Anolis sagrei: one gene and its partners. The protein of the gene in region 2 binds, or shares a complex with, the protein of the main gene of each other region. Links are inferred from orthologs where the notes say so. Each region holds a gene or a part of one and is shown on either strand. Other genes may lie near its edges. The genes, in order: CDH5, PARD3 and PTEN.

Region 1 (7,206 bases), on a different chromosome or scaffold from region 2:
GGATTAGCTTCTAATTAAGAAAAGAAAATCTGTTGACAATGATGTTTGTGATGAACCCATGGAGTGGCGATACAAGAAACTACACAAGAATCAAGTGTAGTAAAGGAAGCGTAAAGGAAAAAATATCCAAACCTTATTTATACAGTAGAGATTATATGAAACAGATAGATAGATAGATAGATAGATATTCAATATATAAAGGTAAAGATAAAGGTAAAGGTTTCCCCTTGACATTAAGTCTAGTCGTGTCGAACTCTGGGGGGTGATGCTCATCTCCTCTTCTAAGCCAAAGAGCCTGCGTTGTCCATAGATGTCTCCAAGTTCATGTGGCCAGCATGACTGCATGTAGCACCGTCACCTTCCTGCAGAAGTGGTACCTATTGATCTACTCACATTTGCTTGTTTTTGAACTTCTAGGTTGGCAGAAGCTGGGCTAACAGCAGGAGTACATTGCGCTCTCTGGATTTGAACTGCTGACCTTTCAGTCAGCAAGTTCAGCAACTCAGTGATTTAAAATGCTGCGCCCATGGGGACTCTCTCTCTCTCTCTCTCTCTCTCACACACACACACACACAATCTGTAGTATACATTCCTATAAGAGATTGGTTTGACCTCCAGTTTGCAAGTAAAACTGAATTGCTGCATCACAAAAGGAGGCGTTGTCTAAAAAATACGTGTCACCAACACAAAACCGCTCTGTGTCCCCTTCGGGGTTGAGAAGAGTGGTGTATAAATAAAGCAAATAAATAAATAATAAATAAAATGTTTGGAAAACTTTGGATTAGAGAATGGGACTATTTTGCAACTTCTGTTTTAAATATATTGTCAAAGACTTTCATGGCCGGAATCACTGGGTTGTTTTAAGTTTTTCGGGCTGTATGGCCATATTCCATGTTCTGTTTTAAAGTTTTCCCGGCAGTGGTTTGGTACCTTGGGTTATGATTTAAAATGCTGCCACTTTCACAAAAACACAGCTCAGTGTCTTATGAGATTTTGCAATCTATGAGCATCCTGGAATGGGGAATATTCTGAATGTAGATATGTTTCTCCAACCATGCAATTTGAGCACAGCGGTGCTATCAATAAAGCCAGCTTGCAACCACACATCCTGGACAATTGTAGGGTCCCTTGATTTGGCCCATCACATTCTGACAATATCCCAAAAGAGCTGTTAACTAGGGCCCTTCCACACAGCCATATAACCCAGAATATCAAGGCAGAAAATCCCACAATATTTGCTTTGAACTGGATTATCTGAGTCCATATATATTCCAGTTCAAAGCAGATAATGTGGGATTTTATGCAGCTGTATGGAAGGGGCCTTATTTTCCCATTGTTTTGCATTTGTAAACCATTTCTGAAACAAGTAACATATACATCATCATCATCTATATAAATAAAAATGTAATGTTCGTTTGTGCTACCATCAGAACTCAAAAACCACTGGGGGAATTGACACCAAATTTGGACACAAGACACCTAATAACCCAATGTATGTCCTCCACTCAAAAAATTGATTTTGTCATTTGGGAATTGTCGTTGCTGGGATTTATAGTTTACCTACAATCAAAGAGCATTCTGAGCTCCACCAATGATGGAATCGGGCCAAACTTAGCACACAGGGCTCCCATGACCAACAGAAAAAACTGGAAGGGTTTGGTGGACATTGACCTTGAGTTTGGGAATTATAGTTCACCCACATCCAGAGAGCACCGTGGACTCAAACAATGATGGATCTGGACCAAACTTGGCACGAATATTTCATATGCCCAAATATGAACACAGAAGGAGTTTAAGGGAAATAGATCTTGACATTTGGCAGTTGTAGTTGCTGGGATTTATAGTTCACCTACAATCAAAGAGCATTCTGAACTCCACCAATGATGGAATTGAACCAAACATGGCATACATGACTTCCATGATGAACAGAACACACTGGAATGGTTTGGTGGGCATTGACCTTGAGTTTGGGAGTTGTAGTTCACCTACATCCAGAGAGCACTGTGGACTCAAACAATGATGGATCTGGACCAAACTTGACACAAATATTCCATATGCCTAAATATGAACACAGATAGAGTTTGGAGGAAATAGACCTTGACATTTGGGATTTGTAGTTACTGGGATTTATAGTTCACTACAATTAAAGAGCATTCTGAAACCCACAAACCACAGAAATGGGGCAAACTTCCCACACAGAACCCCCATGACCAACAGAAAATACTTAAGGCCATCCAGTCCAACTCTCTTCACCAGGGCAAGAAAATGTAATCAGAGCCCTCCTGACAAAGAGCCATCCAGTCATAAATATAGATAGATAGATATGATTCTCTCACACACAGAGAGATATAGTATCATAGATTTGAAAGAGACCCTTAAAGAAGGACTATAATATGTTGCATATTCCAGAGTAGGCAAACCAGACACTCTCCACATCAACACTGACAAAGAAACAACAAGAAGTACTGTTTTCCCACAAGCATAAAGGAATTACATATATTAGAAACCAACACTTTCTCATTACTTCATTTTCCAGGTCACCAGATTGGGCCACAGCAATGCCTGGCAGGGGACAGCTAGTACTTAACATAAAATAATTGACTATGAAATAATAAACACAATAATGAAATGTAGGTGCAATTATGGAAGGCATGATGGGAAAAATGCAATACAAAGCCATCCCAACATAACTTTTAAATCATAGAATCATAGAATCAAAGAGTTGGAAGAGACCTCATGGGCCATCCAGTCCAACCCCCTGCCAAGAAGCAGGAATGTTGCATTCAAATCACCCCTGACAAATGGCCATCCAAGAGGAAGAGACATAGCAAGTTAGGCAAGAACAAGTGCACCAAGAGCAAGAATCCTTCAATATCCCAATCTTTTCCTTGATTCTTACCTGGCTTGGGCTTTATCCGAATTGACACAATTCCGTTACCTCTGTCCACGTAATGTTCTCTATGTCCTGACCGGGTAAAGTGTAATATCTAGAACATAATGCAACCCACTATTACTCTGCATTGAGTAATACAGGGAGTGTTCGGCTTCCCAGTCTCCAAGGTTTCCCAGCTGGGAGTCTGCCCTTTTCCCGTCCTGCATCCCGGCATCCTGTTATTGTTCCAAGCCTTAGTAATGCTGGAAAGAAAAGGGTGTGGAGGAAATCAGATAAAAAGTATTTTTTTTTAAATTCACTACCTTGGGCCTGGGAGGAACAAGTAAAAAAAGAGCCTCAGGAGAGAAGGAAGGAAGAAAGACAAAGAGGGAACAAGACTGACAGAAAGAAAGATGGGAAGAAAGAATTCCTTGATATCAGTGTAATACAACATCAGTAACTGGATTTCATTACATTTCTGAAAAGAGAGGCCTGCATTTTCTGGCACTCCTCAGCAAATTGGTCCTAAGGGTTAGTTTAGTTTCAACATTTTCGCCCACTGAGGCACACGGCCAAAGAGAACTTTTGCACGTTTCCTACGGCAGGCAAAAGGCTTAAATCCGAAGAACAGTGGAAATATAGTCTCATACTGGATCAGGCAAAGATGAAGTACTTTGGCCACATAATGAGAAGACAGGAAAGCTTGGAGAAGAGATTTTTTTTTTGTCATGTCAGGAGCGACTTGAGAAACTGCAATCGCTTCTGGTCTGAGAGAATTGGCCGTCTGCAAGGACGTTACCCAGGGGACGCCCGGATGTTTTGATGTTTTATCATCCTGACATCCGCCAGGAAGTAGCAGCCAATAGTGAAAAGACCAAGGCAGTGATATCTCCAGCTCATCCCCTGTTTGGGTATCAGCCAGCACGTCAACGACTTAAATCAAGATCTACAGAGACACTCACTGGAACACCTCAGCAAGCGAGAGTCCAAAAGTGGCAGGCTCAAACCCAGAACCTCAACCAATGGCTGAGACACACAGAAGACTGGGCGACTTGGAAGATGCTGAACAGACTGCGCTCTGGCACCACGAGATGCAGAGCCAACCTGAAGAAATGGGGCTACAAAGTGGAATCCACGACATGCAAGTGTGGAGAAGAGCAAACCACTGACCACCTGCTGCAATGCACCCTGAGCCCTGCCACATGCACAATGGAGGACCTTCTTGCGGTAACACCAGAGGCACTCCAAATGGCCAGATACTGGTCAAAGGACATTTAATCAACTACCAAGCTTGCAAATTTTGTGTTTTGTCTGTCTGTCTGTCTGTTTTGTTCTGTTAGAAATGTAATACAATTGTCTGGTTGCCTGACACGATAAATATACATCCTTGTGGGAGGCTTCTCTCATGTCCCCACATGAGGAGCTGGAGCTGATAAAGGGAGCTCATCCAAGCTCTCCCTGGATTTGAACCTGTGACTTGTTGGTCTTCAGTCCTGCTGGCACAGGAGTTTAATCCACTGCACCACTGGGGGCTCCTTGGAGAAGAGATGATGCTGGGGAAAATGGAAGGAAAAAGGATGAGGGGCCAACCAAGGCAAGATGGATGGATGTTATCCTTGAAGTGACTGGCTTGATCTTCGAAGGAACTGGGGGTGCTATGGCTGACAGGGAGCTCTGTTCCAGGGGGTCACAAAGAGTCGGGAGCGACAGAATGAATAAACAACAACAACTGGATCAAAAATGGTCTCTATAGCTTTGTCTTTCTGAATATAGTGCTCTTTCAATATACTCTGTTTCCCCACAAAATAAGACCTACCCTGAAAATAAGTCCTGGCATGATTTTTCAGGATTTTTGAGGATGCTCGAAATATAAGCCCTACTTAAAAAATAAGCCTTAGTTACAGTTCTCAAAAAAGTCAGTTTGGAAAAATTAGATATGCCTTGAAAATAAGCCCTGACTCAATGATTCTTAACCTTCATCATGCTGCGCCCCCTCAATATAGTTCCTCATATTGTGGTGACCTCCAACCATAACATTGTTTTTGTTGCTACTTCATAACTGTAATTTTGCTCCTGTTATGAATTGTAATGTAAATATCCGATATGCAGGATGTATTTTCATTCACTGGACCAAATTTGGCACAAATACCCAATACACCTAAATTTGAATAATGGTGGGGTTGGGGGGAAGGATGGATTTTGTCATTTGGAAGTTGTCATTGCGTGACATGATTTAGAATTGCTCTTTCAGGAGGGTGGGGGGGATGGGGGGAAAGGGGTTGTTGGGCGATACATAACTAAGGAATGTATAAAATGTCATTTAAGGAATATTTACTTTTGGAATAATGTATATTGAAATAAATTCTGTATGGCAAAATTTTTGTTGATTGTTGGGATGCATCAAATAAAAAGATATATATATATATAATCATAGAATCAAAGAGTTGGAAGAGACCTCATGAGCCATCCAGTCCAACCCCCTGCCAAGAAGCAGGAATATTGCATTCAAATCACCCCTAACAGATGGCCCTCCAGCCTCTGTTTAAAAGCTTCCAAAGAAGGAGCCTCCACCACACTCCGGGGCAGAGAGTTCCACTGCTGAACGGCTCTCACAGTCAGGAAGTTCTTTCTCATGTTCAGATGGAATCTCCTCTCTTGTAGTTTGAAGCCATTGCTCCGCGTCCTAGTCTCTAGGGAAGCAGAAAACAAGCTTGCTCCCTCCTCCCTGTGGCTTCCTCTCACATATTTATACATGGCCATCATATCTCCTCTCAGCCTTCTCTTCTTCAGGCTAAACATGCCCAGCTCCTTAAGCCGCTCCTCATAGGGCTTGTTCTCCAGACCCTTTATCATTTTAGTCACCCTCCTCTGGACACATTCCAGCTTGTCAATATCTCTCTTGAATTGTGGTGCCCAGAATTGGACACAATATTCCAGGTATGGTCTAACCAAAGTGGAATAGAGGGATAGCATGACTTACCTAGATCTAGACCCTATGCTCCTATTGATGCAGGCCAAAATCCCATTGGCTTTTTTTGCCACCACATCACATTGTTGGCTCATGTTTAACTTGTTGTCCACGAGGACTCCAAGATCTATATTTAAAAATATTGGAAGTTGTCATTGCTGGGATTTAAAGTTCACCTACAATCAAAGAGCATTCTGAACTCCACTAACAATGGAATTGAACCAAACTTGAAACACAGAACTCCCATGACCAACAGAAAATACTGGAAGGGTTTGGTGGGCATTGACATTGAGTTTTGGAGTTGCAGTTCACCTATATCCAGAGAGCACTGTGGACTCAAACAACGATGGATCTGGATCAAACTTGGCATGAATACTCAATATGTCCAAATGTGAACACTGGTGGAGTTTGGGGAAAATAGACCATAACATTTTGAAGTTATAGTTGCTGGGATTTATAGTACAGTGAAAGAGGATTCTGAACCCCACCAACAATAGAATTGGGCCAGACTTCCCACACAGAATCTGCATGAACAACAGAAAATACTATGTTTTCTGATGGTCTTTGATGACCCCTATGACACCCCCTCATGGCCCCCCCAGGGGTCCCAACTCCCAGGTTGAGGAATGCTGAGGTAAATGGTTTCATTGCTACACTATAAAGATGGCCAAAGGAACTGCAGCCATTTTATGGGACACTTTCCTAACAACTCCAAGTTCAATAGGGCCTCACCTCCCTTCTTCATTACAGCTTAAGAAGTCTGATCTCCCTTTGTGTGAAAAGACGAAGCTCCACTCACACTATATCATATTTTTATGAGAGCAACAGCAAAAGACAAATAGCGCTTTTAGAAATTTCGATGCATCTATTATTCAGGAAGGTTAAGCAACTAATGAGGGAACATTTTTCAAAGCTTTCTCGGCAGAAGCTGTTTACAATTCCTTTTCCCCCAAAGAAAGGACACAATCTCTCCTCAAGCCGGATGGAGAGGGAAAACAGGAAGGATGTTGAGTGCCTTTCTAGTGAGCGTCCGTTATCATGGTGATCACAATGTAGCAAAGGTGGAGTTACTGAGGCATTTTGTGCCAGCAGTCTCATTTCTGCTCCTGGAGCAATGGCTATCAACCTTCCTAGTGCTGCAACCCCTTAATACAGTTCCTTATGTTGTGGTGATCCCCAACTATAAAACTATTTTAGTTGCTACTTCATAAGTGTAATTTTGCTACTGTTATGAATCATAATGCTTCCTCTTCATCATGGAAAGAAGTGACAAGTGGAGTGCCGCAGGGTTCTGTCCTGGGCCCGGTCCTGTTCAACATCTTTATTAATGACTTAGACGAAGGGCTAGAAGGCATGATCATCAAGT
Region 2 (7,071 bases):
GATGATAAAACATCAAATCATCCGGGTGTCCCCTGGGCAACGTCCTTGCAGATAGCCAATTCTCTCACACAAGAAGCGACTTGCAGTTTCCCAGGTTGCTCCTGACACGACCAAAAAAAAACCCCAGCTCTGAGGATGCCTGCCATAAATGCAGGCAAAACATCAGGAGAGAATGCTTCTGGAACATGGCCTTACAGCCGGGAAAGCTCACATCTCAGTTTGACAATACAGGGACGCTCAATGTTTTTTGTACATGCTCACATACTGTTCCAAGGCTGAATAATAATAATTATATGTGTCTCCCCCTCCCCCTACCCCAAAATTGGGCCTGTTTCAGATATATTTATGAATTGTATGGAGAGAAGTGGTGACTGGACACAAAACCAGGAATGATGCAAGCAGAGTAGGAGGGCAAGTTAGTGTGTAACAGACTGGATTCTCTGGAAGGACACATCAGCCACAGTTCCTCCTGAAATGTAATAATGGTTTGAATCCCCTTCACAGAAACAAGACAAATATCTCTCCTCTACACTGAGAGAGTATTTTTCTGGAAATGCAGAGAGTCTGTATTACCGCAAGTGTTCAAACTACGCACAACCACACCGCTACAGCAAAAGCTGTTTCTTTTCCAATAAGAGCTCTTTTCAAAACAAGGGGAGGATAAGCCACGCTGGTCTAACGCCATAGGTTTGTTATAAAGGAGTTTGTTTTCCAGCTTGAAAAGAGGCAGAAGTCCAAGAGAGCACATGCTCCAGCAGCCTCAGAACTCCACTCCCAGGCAGAGGGGGGACTCCATGATTTCTGGTGGAGTGTTTCCCTTCCCTCGGTCCCTCCCTCACTCCCTCCCTGCTTGCTTCTTTGGGCCTGGACTGGCTGGAAAGCCTGGGGCTGGATTTCAAGCCTTTTGCAGAAACCACAGCTCGTGGAGAGGGAAAGGCAGAGGAGGAGGAAACTTGTCCCATGGCAGGGAGGGAGGGACAGGAAAGGAAGGGAGAAAGAGTCAAAGAAGGCTCGCTCTCTCTCTCTCATTGTGAACAAAAACCTTTGCAACAACTATGAAACACAACTCTGCAACAGTTGCAAGAAGCACTTGAGAAGTAAACAGTATAAAGATCTAAAGGAGTTGTATCACCTCCAGAAAACATTTGAAAATCTAACACAAGGGGCATAATTTGCATTTTTTTTCAGGATCCTGTCACATGATGTCCCAATTCTGTGTAAATAATATGCTTTATATGTATGTATAAAGCATATTTACGAATGCTGGCGACAATGAGGTGCTGCCATCTCTCCCTTTTTTCCCCTCCTCCTTGTTATGCTATTTCTTGGGAAACTAGAAAAAGCTCCACATTCTCCTGATCTGACGCCTTCCAAAACCTCGAGAGATTGGGGGGGAAGATCTCGGCGTGGAAAGTCTCTCCTTCCACGGGAGAAACGGACGCGGGAGGGAGAAGGGAAAGGAAAAGAAAAGGGAAGCCTGCAAAGGACGGGGTCTCAGAGAGAGAGAGAGAGAGAGAGAGAGAGAAGGAAAGGAAAAGAAGGGAAGCCTGCTCTTGAAAAGGCGGGGGGGGGAGGGAGAAGGAGGGGGGAAGGAAAGGAAAGAAGGGAAGCCTGCAAAGGACGGGGGCTGAGAGAGAGAGAGAGAGAAGGGAAGGTAAAAGAAGGGAAGCCTGCTCTTGAAAAGGACGGGGAGGAGGGGAGAGAGAGAGAGAGAAGGGAAAGGAAAAGAAGGGAAGCCTGCAAAGGATGGGGTCTGAGAGAGAGAGAGAAGGAAAAGGAAAAGAAGGGAAGCCTGCTCTTGAAAAGGCGGGGGGGGGAAGAGGGGGGAAGGAAAGGAAAAGAAGGGAAGCCTGCAAAGCACGGAGGCTGAGAGAGAGAAGGGAAGGGAGAGGAAAAGAAGGGAAGGCTGCTCTTGAAAAGGACAGGGGGATGGGAAAAGAAGGGAAGCCTACTCTCCGGGCAAACCACTTGCTGCAGCCCAAAGAGCGGCAGGCGGGAGCAACAACAAAGAGTTCAGTCCCTGAAGGCAACACACCAACACCTCGGGACTCCTCGCGACGCCAGCCCCCCCCCCCCCCCCAAAACACAACACCGGGAAGGAGGGAGAAATCTCTGCTCGTCCCAAAGTGGTGGGAGGAGGAAGAGAAGGAAGAGGAGAAGCCATATTCCAAGCCTTTTCCTCCCCAAAACATTGCAGAAAAGTATCCAAATGGGAACGAGTTTCCCACACCAAAGTTTCCCACTCCAAGTCGCTCGCTATTCCACGGATTGTGGCCAAGCTGAGACTCCAACTCCGGAACCCACTGAAGGGGGAAGTCGGGGAGAGAGGGCTCTGTCCCTTTGGCCCTTCCTTCCAGGGCTCTCCTTTGGCCCACTTTGCTCCCTCTTCCCTCGCCAGCCCTCCCCAGGCCAGGAAGCGCCATATTGATCCCGGGCGCGCTCTTCTCGGGCTCCCTTCTTCTTCCCAACTGAATGTATTACTTTTTGTATTACTTGTTATGTGTTCGGGCATCTAATTGTGCCCTCCCCTGTAAGCCGCCCTGAGTCCCCCCCGGGGTGAGAAGGGCGGGGTATAAGTGAATGAAATAATAAATAATAATAATAATAATGCGCACACACACACATGGATACAAAGCCCCAGACTCACCTTCGCCACGGCCTTCCTGTACCTGGTCACGGCTTGCTCGATAAGGCTGCCCACCTGGAGGTTCCCGTCGCCGCAGGGCACGACCACCCGGGTCCGCCCGAAGCAGACCGTGACTTTCATCCTCCCCTCCCACGGCCCAAGAGGCCCAAGAGGAAGGGAAGAGCGGGTCAAGGCGCCTCCGCGGGTGGATGGCCCTTCACATGCTGTGGGCCAACAAGAGGAGAAGAAGGAGGAGGAGGAAGATGAGGAGAAGGAGGAGGCTCTGCTGCCTGCCTGCCTGCCTTCCTGCCCGCTGCCTCTGGCCACCTGTTCAGCGTCGCCTCGCCTTCCTGCCTGCCTTCTTTCCTTCCTTCCCGCCTCCCGCGTCCCTTCGCACGGACTGGGCCGCCCTCCTTTTCTCTCTCTTTCTCTCCTTCTCTTCGCCCGCCTCTCCTGCCCACGCCTCCCTCCCTTCCCTCCTAAGGGAAGAGAAGGCGCTCCTTTTGGATACCTCTCCCCTCTTTCTTTTGTTGACACTCTGGACATTTCAGGTCTACCCCCCTCCCAGGCAGGGGCAAACTTGGGCCCTCCCTCCAGCTGTTTTGGACTCCAACTCCCACCATTCCTAACCGCCTACCGGCGGTTGGAGTCCAAAACACCTGGAGGGAGGGCCCAAGTTTGCCCATGCCTGATCTATCCTAGAATATCACACTAGGGGGCGGGGGGGGGGGGGGAATCCACTTCAAATCCGGTTTCTGCCTCCTGCAGAATTCTGGAGTTTGTAGTTTAGGAAGAAGCTTGGAACAGGCGCACAAAACTACAAACCCCAGAATTCTGCAAGAGGCAGGAACCTCTTCCAACTCTATGATTCTATCATTCCGTGTACTTTCTGAAGCAGGAATATTGCATTCAAATCACCCCTGACAGATGGCCATCCAGCCCCTGTTTAAAAGCTTCCAAAGAAGGAGCCTCCACCACACTCCGGGGCAGAGAGTTCCACTGCTGAATGGCTCTCGCAGACAGGAAGTTCTTTCTCGTGTTCAGATGGAATCTCCTCTCTTGTAGTCTGAAGCCATTGTTCCTAGTCTCCAGGGAAGCAGAAAACAAGCTTGCTCCCTCCTCCTTGTGGTTTCCTCTCACATATTTATACATAGCTATCATATCTCCTCTCAGCCTTCTCTTCTTCAGGCTAAACATGCCCAGCTCCTTAAGCCGCTCCTCATAGGGCTTGTTCTCCAGACCCTTGATCATTTTAGTCGCCCTCCTCTGGAGACATTCCAGCTTGTCAATATCTCTCTTGAATTGTGGTGCCCAGAATTGGACACAATATTCCAGGTGTGGTCTAACCAGAGCAGAATAGAGGGGTAGCATTACTTCCCTAGATCTAGACACTATGCTCCTATTAATGCAGGCCAAAATCCCATTGGCTTTTGTTAGCTCATGTTTAACTTGTTGTCCACGAGGACCCCAAGATCATACATATATATATATATATATATATATGGAGTTAAGACTCAAAAATGTACATGTATATATATGTACATATATATTTCATCATCACCATTTAATTACTTATTAATCGCCCTCCATCCAAGATGCTCTAGGCGATTTACAAGCTAAAATTGTAAAGCATAAAAATACAGATATTGATAAAATTAACAAAGATCAAAAGCTCTAGTAAAAAGCCAGGTTTTAAGTGCTAGGGTAAAAGGCTCTAACTCACTAATGGCTTTCATATAGGGTGGCAAGGAATTCCACAAGGCAGGGCAGAAGAAGAAAAAGCTCTGCGTCTGGTCCTTTCCAAGTGCACTTCTCTAGGACCCGGTATATAAAGTAAGTCAGTTGGGATGGTCGTTGCGACCTCCGATGATGGTAGAAGGAGAGGCGGTCCCTAAGATACGATGGACCCTGGCGGTAAAGAATTTTAAAGGTCAGAACTAGCATCTTATATAGACCACAGTAATCAGTTGGAAGCCAATGCAAATGCCGCAACACTGGTGTTATATGGCATTTCATGGGCGTTCTTGTGAGTAGCCTGGCTGCCACATTCTGAACAATACAGAGCTTTCGGGTCGTAGACATCGGAAGGCCAACATACAGGGCGCTGCAATAGTCCAGCCTAGATGTGACTGTGGCATGGATGACTGTTGCCAGAGCCTCATCAGATAGGTAGGGTGCCAATTGCCTCGCTTGTCGTAGATGGAAAAAGGCCTGTTTGCTGGCAGCAGTGACCTGAGCTTCCATTGTCAGCTGCGAATGTAGTGTATGTGTATGTACATATACATACATACACATACATAGGTATATATGTGTGTGTATATATATATGTATGGGTATATATATATATATAACGGCGCTCCATGCAGTCATGCCAGCCACATAACCTTGGAGGTGTCTACGGACAAGAAAGAGGACCTTCTCGGTGGTGGTCCCTCAACTCTGGAATTAACTTCTCAGGGACATTAGACATGCCCCAACATTGGTGGTCTTTAGGAGGAGCTTGAAAACATGGTTGTTCCAGTGTGCCTTCCCAGAATAAGGAGAACTCTCAGCAATATGCCCTCATAATGCACTTTAATACTGACAGGATGGATTGCGTTCCCTCGTTTCTCTCTGAAAAATCCTATCCCAGTTACATGTTGCCTGTTCATGTCAGCATATTTTCAATTTCAATCTATTACATTTGGCCCGGCCATTTTTAATATGTCATTATTGATTATTGTTTTTGTTATGTGATTTATATGATTTGTATTTTATTGATTGTTTATTAATGTTGTGTTATTGATGTTGTTTGATGTACTTCGGGCTTGGCCTCATGTAAGCCGCACCGAGTCCCTTGGGGAGATGGTAGCGGGGTATAAATAAAGTTTATTATTATTATATTATTATTATTATTACAGACAATGCCGGCTCTTTGGCTTAGAAATGGAGATAAGCACCAGCCCCCAGAGTCGGACACGACTGAATTTAATGTCAGGGGAAAACCTTTACCTTTTACATACATATACATGTATATATATATATGTATGTATGTATGTGTGTGTGTTTGCGTGTGTGTATATATACACACAGACATACACACACAGAGATACATATACATATGTGAGTGTGTGTGTATGTGTATGTATGTATATGAGCTAAATGTTTTGTGTTAAAATCTGGCTAGGTAAAGGTTTTCCCTGACATTAAGTCCAGTTTTGTCCAATTCTGTGGGGTGGTACTCATCTCCATTTCTAGACCACAGAGCCGACAAGGTCCACTGAGCTGCATGAACTCGCTTTCCAAAAAGTTGCAGGTTCTAATCTGGGGTGCGGTTTGAACTCCCACTGTCAGCCCCAGCTTCTGCCAACCTAGCAGTTTGAAAACACGCAAAATGTGAGTAGATCAGTAGGTAACACTCCGGCAGGAAGGTAACAGAGCTCCATGCAGTCATGCCAGCATGGTTGGAGGTGTCTACGAACTACAACAGCTCTTCAACTTAGAAATGGAGATGAGCACCACCCCCTAGAGCCGGACACAACTGGACTTAATGTCAGGGGAAAATCTTTACCTAGCCAGATTTTGTTCAACACAGGATCCCCCCAGGCAGCAACCAGATAGGCTTTGAAGCTGCAAGGCCACTAAATGCTAATCAAGGTGGCTAATTGCAACATTCACACTTACCTAGGTAGACCACAAGCTCTACTCTTTCATATTTCTGAGTTCACCTTTCTCTGAACCTGAGAGAATGTTACTTGTCCAGAATCACCCAGGCGGTCCCCATGTAAGAGTAAGGATTCAAACCCTTGTCTCCTTAAAAATAGTTAATCACTTAAACCAGGGGTCCTCAATCTAAGACCCAAGGGCTGGATATGGCCCTCCAAGGTAATTTACCCTGCCCTTGCTGAGGGTCAACCTATGTCTGAAATGACTTGAAAGCACATAACCACAACAACAACCACAACAACAATCCCATCTCATCAGCCATTGAAATACTAATAAGTTTATATTTGTTAAAATTGTTATTCATTTTAATTATTGTATTGTTTTGAAGTGTTTTTTGCACTACAAATAAGATATGTGCAGTGTGCATAGGAATTCATTCATGGATTTTTTTCCAAATTATAACCCGGCCCTCCAACAGTTTGAAGGACTGTGACCTGGCCCTCTGTTTAAAAAGTTTGAGGACCCCTGACTTAAACCATTGTGCTGCACTAATTCTCTATAGGTAGTTTAGTGAGCAGTATTTAGAACTGCCAAAGCCCTTTAGTGCACCAAACTAAAAATCCCAGGAGCCCACAGGATGGAAGTATGCCAGTTAAAATGGAATAAGAACACTATAATTATGTAGTGTGAGTAAGCCCTCTTAGAGATTTGAGGAAACCTGCACAGGTTCTGGTTACAGGATGGGGAACTGTGTTTATTTTGCTGGGTGACTTGTGAGTAAACATGATTACAACCATACT
Region 3 (7,246 bases), on a different chromosome or scaffold from region 2:
GTGTGGGAGAGCCCTTGACCTCTCTGCATCAATATACAGTTTGACAGCACTTTTCCAACAGCCCCTCCTCCCTCAGGAAGGTGAAGTTTCACAAGGGCCCCTTCCACACAACTGTATAAAATCCATATTGAACTGCAATTATATGGCAGTGTGGACTCAAATAATCCAGGGCCCTTCCACAGAGCTGAATAAAATCCCACATTATCAAAGCCAATACTGTGGATTATTCTGTCTTGATATTCTGGGAGCCTTTCCACACAGCCCTATATCCCAGAATATCAAGGCAGAAAGTCCCACAATATCAGCTTTGAACTGGGTTATCTGAGTCAACACAGCCATATATTCCATTTCAATGCAGAAAATATGGGATTTTATTCAGCTGTGTGGAAAGGTCCCGAGTCCACACTGAGATAATGTGGGATTTTCTGCCTTGATGTTCTGGGATACAGGACTGTGTGGAAGGCCCCTGGGTTAGCTGAGACCACATTTCCATATATCCCACCTCAAAGCAGAAAATGTGGGATTTTGTCCAGCTGTATGGAAGGGGCCCACAATATCTGCTCTGAACTGGATTCTCGAGACCACACTGCCATATAATCCAGTTCATAGCAGGTAATGTGGGATTTTATTCAGCTGTGTGGAAAGGCCTGAGTCCACACTCAGATATTCTGAGATATAGGGCTGTGTGGAAGGACCCTGGGTTATCTGAGTCCACACTGCCATAACCCTAACCCAGGGCCCATCCACACAGCTCTATATCCCCAAATATCAAGGCAGGAAATTCCACGATATCTGCTTTGAACTGGGTTATCTGAGCCCACACTGCCATATAATCCAATTCAAGACAGCTGTGCGGAAGGACCCTGAGTCTACACTCAGATATTGTGGGATTTTCTGCCTTGATATTCTGGGATATAGGGCTGTGTGGAAGGGCCCTGGGTTGTATGAGTCCACACTGCCATAACCCTAACCCAGGCCCCTTTCACACAGCTCTATATTCCAGAATATCAAGGCAGAAAATCCCACATTATCAGAGTGTACGCAGAGTTCTTCCACAGTCCTATATTCCAGAATATCAAGGCAGAAAATCTCACAATATCTGCTTTGAACTGGGCTATCGGAGTCCACACAGCAATATATTCCAGTTCAATGAAGAAAATGTGGGATTTTATTCAGCTCTGTGGAATGGCCCCGAGTCCACACTCAGATAATGTGGGATTTTCTGCCTTGATGTTCTGGGATATAGGGCTGTGTGGAAGGGCCCTGGGTTGTCGGAGTCCACACTGCCATAAGCCTAACCCAGGGCACTTCCACACAGCTCTATATCCCCGAATATCAAGGCAGAAAATCCCAAATTATGTGAGTGTACTCAGAGCTCTTCCACGCAGCCCTATATTCCAGAATATCAAGGCAGAAAATCCCAAATAACTGAGTGTACTCAGTTCTTCCACACAGTCCTATATTCCAGAATATCAAGGCAGAAAATCCCACAATATCTGCTTTGAACTGGCCAATCTGACTCCACACAGCCATATATTCCAGTTCAATGCAGAAAATGTGGGATTTTATTCAGTTGTGTGGAAGGGCCCTGAGTCCACTCAGATAATGTGGGATTTTCTGCCTTGATGTTCTGGGATATAGGGCTGTGTGGAAGGGATCTGGGTTGTCCGAGTTCACACTGTCATAACCCTAATCCAGGGCCCTTCCACACAGCTCTATATCCCCGAATATCAAGGCAGAAAATCCCACAATATCTGCTTTGAACTGGGCTGAGTCCACACAGCCATATATTCCAGTTCAAAGCAGAAAATGTAGGATTTTATTCAGCTGTGTGGAAGAGCCCTGAGTCCACACTCAGATAATGTGGGATTTTCTGCCTTGATGTTCTGGGATATAGGGCTGTGTGGAAGGGCCCTGGGTTGTCCAAGTCCACACTGCCATAACTCTAACTGAGGGCCCTTCCACACAGCTCTGTATCCCTGAATATAAAGGCAGAAAATCCCAAATTATCTGAGTATACTCAGAGCTCTTCCACACAGCCCTATATTCCAGAATATCAAGGCAGAAAATCCCACAATATCTGCTTTGAGCTGGGCTGAGTCCACACAGCCATATATTTCAGTTCAATGCAGAAAATGTGGGATTTTCTGCCTTGATGTTCTGGGATATAGGGCTGTGTGGAAGGGCCCTGTGTTAGCTGAATCCACATTTCCATATATCCCATCTCAAAGCAGAAAATGTGGGATTTTGCTCAGCTGTATGGAAGGGGGATCTGAACCGGATTCTCTGAGCCCACACTGCCCTGCAATCCAATTCAAGGCAGCTGTGTGGAAGGGCCCTAAAGGAGGCGAAGGCGCAATCCAAGCGAAGGCGACCCACGGGAGGGATACAGGTCAGGTCTAGATCGAAGCCATCCTCCTGGTATCTCCTTTTGTTCCTGCTGACGATCTCTTTGATGATGGCGGTCATGTCTGGGAGCCGGGAGCCGCTGAGGAACAGGGCGGACAAGCACGGCGGCGGCTGCAGGGCGCAGAGGGCGCGGAGCCTCGGCGGAGGAGGAAGAGGCAGAGGAGGCGGAGGAGGGGGAGGCTGGCCCCCTCCCGCTTCGGCCCGCCAACGGTGAGGAGGACGGCGGCGGCGGCGACTGCTGCTGCTGCTCACGGAGCGGCTCGAAGAAGAAGGTGGAGACGATGACGGTAAGGCGGCTGCTGCTGCTTCTCCTCCTCCTCCTTCTTCTTCTTCAGGCGAAGGCCCGGACGCGGCCTGGCCCAGCGGCGGCGAGAGCGTCGCTTCCTGAGGCGAGGAGGAGGCCGAGGAGACTGAGGAGGAGCCGCCGCCGCCGCCGCCGAGGCTCCCTCCTCCTCCTCTCTCCCGCGGGCTCGAGCGGCGGCGGGGCTCCAGGAGGACCGGCGACGGCAGCAGCTTCGCCCGCTTTTCCCCACCCGCCCGAGCGGGCGGGCAGGCAGGTTGCTCCTTCCCTTGCTTTCCGAAAGCGGGAAACGCAAAAACAAAAAAGGACGAAAAAGGAGGCGGGCGGGCCCGAGAAACAGAATTAAAAAATCAATAAAATAGCCCTCTCAGGTCCTGAGGGGAAGGCGGCCTCCTCGCCTCATTCCTCTGCGCGGCGGTTGGGTCGCCTTCCTTTCCTTCCCTTTCCTTCCTTCTTCTTTGCCTTCTGCCGCGCACGCGTAGAAGAGCCGAGCCGATTTTTTTCTCTCCTCCTCCTCCTCCCTCCTCCCTCCCCCCTCCCTCCTTGTCTCCAAGAGAGCGGCTGTTCCTTCAATCGCTGACACCCCCCTTTTTTTTCTTCTTCTTCTTTTCCTTTCTTCCTTTTCCTGACTTTCTTCTCCTTCAAGGCTCACTTGCAGCCTCGCTTGCGCCAGCCAACCATCATGGCTGCAGCTTCCGAAAGAGAGGCAGAGCGAGAGGGAAAAAGGAAGCAAAGGGAGGGGGGGAGAAAAGGAGGGGAGGGGGAGGGAGAAAAAGGAACAGCGCCGAAAGAGAGAGGGGAGGGGGAGGAGGAGGGGGAAAAAAAGTCAGCGGGAACGCATCACTCCGCTCTTGGTGAGCTCCCTCCGCCGCTGGAGGAAAAAGGAGTCCGCCGCCACATCACCGCCTCCAAATCTCTTCCTCCGACTTTTCCTTCCTTTCTTTCCGTTCCTTTCTTTCCGTTCTTCCTTCCTTCATCAAAAGCAGATTCAAGCCGAGAAGGGCGATTGCTCCTAGACTGGAAAAGAAGAAGAGGAGCGCAGGCGTAGAGAGAGAGAGAGGGACACGTTCGGAAGCGGCGGAAGGATATCCCACAGGCGATTGCCTCATCCCAATGACGGGCTAATTCCCCCCGGAGTCACGTGACGGGTGTAAAGCAGAGGAAAGGGAGGGGGCACTTCCCGCTCCTCCGCCTCCTGAGCTGAGGCTGCTTCTGCCCCACTTCTTTCCAAGGGAGGGCTTGCATCAGTATCACAGCCTTTTCTATTGTACACCCCTTGCAATGGCCCTTTTTTTTTGCAGCAGGAGGTGCCTTTGGTCCCCAAGAGCCTCCTTGCAAGGCTTATTGATGCATTGGCCTAGCAGCCACCCTTTCACATTGGCTTTTGTTGTCCTGGTTGCAATCCCTGGTTAGGCTGTCCAGTCTGGGGTTGAGACCTTGCACCAGTGGGCAAAGAGAATCTCTGGGGAGGCCCTGCTCTAGGCCCTACCATTATCACAAGTGAGACTGGTGGGGACGAGGGACAGGGCCTTCTCGGTGGTGGCCCCTCGCCTATGGAATGCACTCCCCAGGGAGATTAGGTCATCAACATCCCTCCTCTCTTTCAGAAGGAAGCTAAAAATCTATATGTGGGACCAGGCTTTTGGGTAAGCTGGCAGATGGACAAAGACAATGATGACCAGAGTAGGAAAGGACAATGACGATGTTAGATGGATTACCGATTTATGAATTGGCGAACATTGACCACAAGATGATTTTATTGCTGCTATTGTACCGTCTTGATTGTTTTAACTAGTTATAACTGTTGACGCTATATTGTAATTTTGTATATTTATTTTGTGAATTGTTGGGCATCGAATTGTGCCTTTTGTAAGCCGCCCTGAGTTCCCCCTAGAGCAATGGTTCTCAACCTGGGGTCCCCAGATGTTTTTGGCCTACAACTCCCAGAAATCCCAGCCAGTTTACCAGCTGTTAGGATTTCTGGGAGTTGAAGGCCAAAAACATCTGGGGACCCCACGTTGAGAACTACTGCCCTAGGGGGTTGAGAAGGGGTAGAAGCACCCCAAATAAATAAATAAATAAATAAATCTTTGCCCATGCTCTCATACCTCACAACCTCTGAGGATGCTTGCCATAGATGCAGGCGAAACGTCAGGAGAGAATGCTTCTAGAACATGGCCATATAGCCAGAAAAAACTACAACAACCAAGAATCAGAACTGCTTCCTGTTGGGTCTTTGTGATTGCATATGAGCCGGCGCAAACTTTAAGATCTTCCGGGGGAGGCCCTCCATTCGCTCCCACCACCGTCACAAGCACAGTTGGTGGGGACGAGAGAGAGGGCCTTCTCGGTGGTGGCCCCTCACCTCTGGAACACCCTTCCTGGGGAAATAAGACAGGCCCCATCACTCCCCTCTTTTCGTAAGAGCCTGAAGACCTGGTGGTTTAAACAAACCTTTGAGAATGACTAGTTCTTGCTCTGCCCCAGATACTGTTGAAATTGGCCATATCTTCTTCTGCCAATTACCCAGGTCACTCTCTTCTGTTAGGCCCTGGAAATGTATAGCCATAGACATGTACAGCCATAGACTAAATCACATTAGCCTGGCCTGGCCTTTTAAACTGCCTTGATCAGACATGATTATTTTAAATATATGTGCTATTGTGGTTTTAATGCTTATACTGTTTTGTTAATTTTATGTTTATGCCTTTTTTTCTTGTATGTATTGATTATGTTACTTGGAAACCGTTCTGAGTCCCCTTGGGGAGATAGAGCGATATATAAATAAAGTGTTGTTGTTGTTGTTCCAGGATGTGGCACTCAAAGGATGCACATCATGGGGATTGCACAGCCCCATGGATACATAGCATGAGGATTGTGGAGATTGTATTGTCGAAGGCTTTCACGGCCAGAATCACTGGGTTGTTGTAGGTTTTACGGGCTATATGGCCATGTTCTAGAAGCATTCTCTCCTGACGTTTCGCCTGCATTTCTAGCAAGCATCCTCAGAGGTTGTGATGTCATCCACAACCTGTGAGGATGCCTACCATAGATGCAGGCGAAACGTCAGGAGAGAATGCTTCTAGAACATGGCCATATAGCCCGAAAAACCTACAACGCATTGTGGAGACTTGGTAACTAGGATGGCATGGCATGGAGATTACAGAATAGACTAGCTTTATTTGTCATTGCGCTATTGCACAACAAAATGACATGCCTTCCCCTGTACGCACCACAAAACAACACACCACCTCCACACAGCCTTCAATGCTACATCGGTGCAAAACCACTGAGTTCAATATAGCCACAGGTCTAGGATAAAAGCTATCCTTCAGTCTGTCTGTCCTTGTCTTTGTCACACTGTGCTGTCTGAATAGAATAAATGATAAAGGAAATGCAGGACTGTTCCCAGAGGAAAATAAGGGAAATAGTGGAAAAGAGATGGATACATGTAGGGGACAAGAGCTATTAAATATAGAATTTTTAATCTACTTTTTGTTAAATTGTTAAAAATATATATACTATTTAAGTCACCTATATTATCTTCTAAACTTCCTCACGAGAAAAAATGGTTATGTTCTACTAGTTTGTACTAAATTTAAAAAAACATTTAAAAAGAGAGATGACCCCAAGGGTACATAGCATGAGGATTGTTGCGCCCCTTGGTACCCAGGGTGGCCTGAAGATTGCACAACCCAATGGTACCTACTAGGGCTGAATACTATGGAGATTGCACCACCCCTAGCTCCCAGGGTGGCATGGAAATGACATAACTCTGGGACCTAGGGCTGCACAGTATGGGGATTATACCACCCTTTGGTACCCAAGGTTGCATGGGATAGGGGTTGATCCCTTAGCCCCCCAGGGATGCGTGGTATGAAGTTTACACAAACCCTGGTACCTGGGATGGTCCTGGAATTGCACAACCCTTGGCACCCAGGGATACAGAGCATGCAGATTACATGGCCCCTGGCACCTGTGATTCTATCAGGATTGCACAATGCCTTAGTGTCCAGAGATGCAAAGCATGACCCTGGATACCTTGTGGGTGGGGATTGCACATCACCCGGCACGTAAGAAAACATAGCATTAGGATTCCATGGCCCTTCTCACCCAGAACTGCATAGTATGGGGATTAAATGAACCCTTGGCACCCAGGGATGAAAGACATGGTGATTGTACAACCTCTGGCATCCAGGAATGATTGGCATGGGGACTAAATGGCCCCTTGGCACCCAGAGATGCAGGACATGGAGATCACACACCTCTTGGCACTTGGGTTGGTGCTGGAATTGCACAACCTCTTGACATCCAGGGATGCAGGACACAGAGATGGTGCAACCCCTGCGCCCAAGACTGCATGAAGTTTGCCCAATTCCTTGCATACAGCATGGGGACTGCACTGCCCCTTGGCACCCATGGCTGCATAGTATAGCGTGGTACATGCCTTAGTTGCCTCCAGATTGGATTACTGTAATGCACTTTACGTGGGGCTGCCCTTGAAAATGGCCCGGAAATTCCAATTGATACAACGGG

The links.
Region 1: the proteins of PARD3 (region 2) and CDH5 are in contact, whole or in part, in an NMR structure (PDB 2KOH), measured with the Mus musculus proteins. The link is inferred for Anolis sagrei from reciprocal best matches to the Homo sapiens genes PARD3 and CDH5. Residues at the interface, in NP_296369.2 of Mus musculus: Ala599, Gly600, Leu601, Gly602, Val603, Ser604, Val605, Lys606, Gly607, Arg609, Lys611, Lys622, Ile625, Asn655, Gln656, Met659, Arg663, Met666; in NP_033998.2 of Mus musculus: Tyr774, Gly775, Asp777, Gln779, Glu780, Glu781, Leu782, Ile783, Ile784.
Region 3: the proteins of PARD3 (region 2) and PTEN are in contact, whole or in part, in an NMR structure (PDB 2K20), measured with the Rattus norvegicus proteins. The link is inferred for Anolis sagrei from reciprocal best matches to the Homo sapiens genes PARD3 and PTEN. Residues at the interface, in NP_112514.1 of Rattus norvegicus: Ala599, Gly600, Leu601, Gly602, Val603, Ser604, Val605, Lys606, Gly607, Asn608, Arg609, Ser610, Lys611, His614, Lys622, Ile625, Met659, Leu662, Arg663, Met666; in NP_113794.1 of Rattus norvegicus: Asp393, Glu394, Asp395, Ser398, Gln399, Ile400, Thr401, Lys402, Val403.

The regions. Positions count from the first base shown.
Region 1 is NC_090028.1:20,443,845-20,451,050, reverse strand, and holds the start of CDH5 (cadherin-5), read right to left. Parts: upstream 3,106-7,206; 5' UTR 2,900-3,105; intron 1-2,899. UniProt on the Homo sapiens protein: Cadherins are calcium-dependent cell adhesion proteins. They preferentially interact with themselves in a homophilic manner in connecting cells; cadherins may thus contribute to the sorting of heterogeneous cell types.
Region 2 is NC_090026.1:114,015,350-114,022,420, forward strand, and holds the start of PARD3 (partitioning defective 3 homolog), read right to left. Parts: upstream 3,075-7,071; 5' UTR 2,768-3,074; coding exon 2,648-2,767; intron 1-2,647. UniProt on the Homo sapiens protein: Adapter protein involved in asymmetrical cell division and cell polarization processes. Seems to play a central role in the formation of epithelial tight junctions. Targets the phosphatase PTEN to cell junctions.
Region 3 is NC_090023.1:182,601,027-182,608,272, reverse strand, and holds the start of PTEN (phosphatidylinositol 3,4,5-trisphosphate 3-phosphatase and dual-specificity protein phosphatase PTEN), read right to left. Parts: upstream 3,060-7,246; 5' UTR 2,470-3,059; coding exon 2,391-2,469; intron 1-2,390. UniProt on the Homo sapiens protein: Dual-specificity protein phosphatase, dephosphorylating tyrosine-, serine- and threonine-phosphorylated proteins.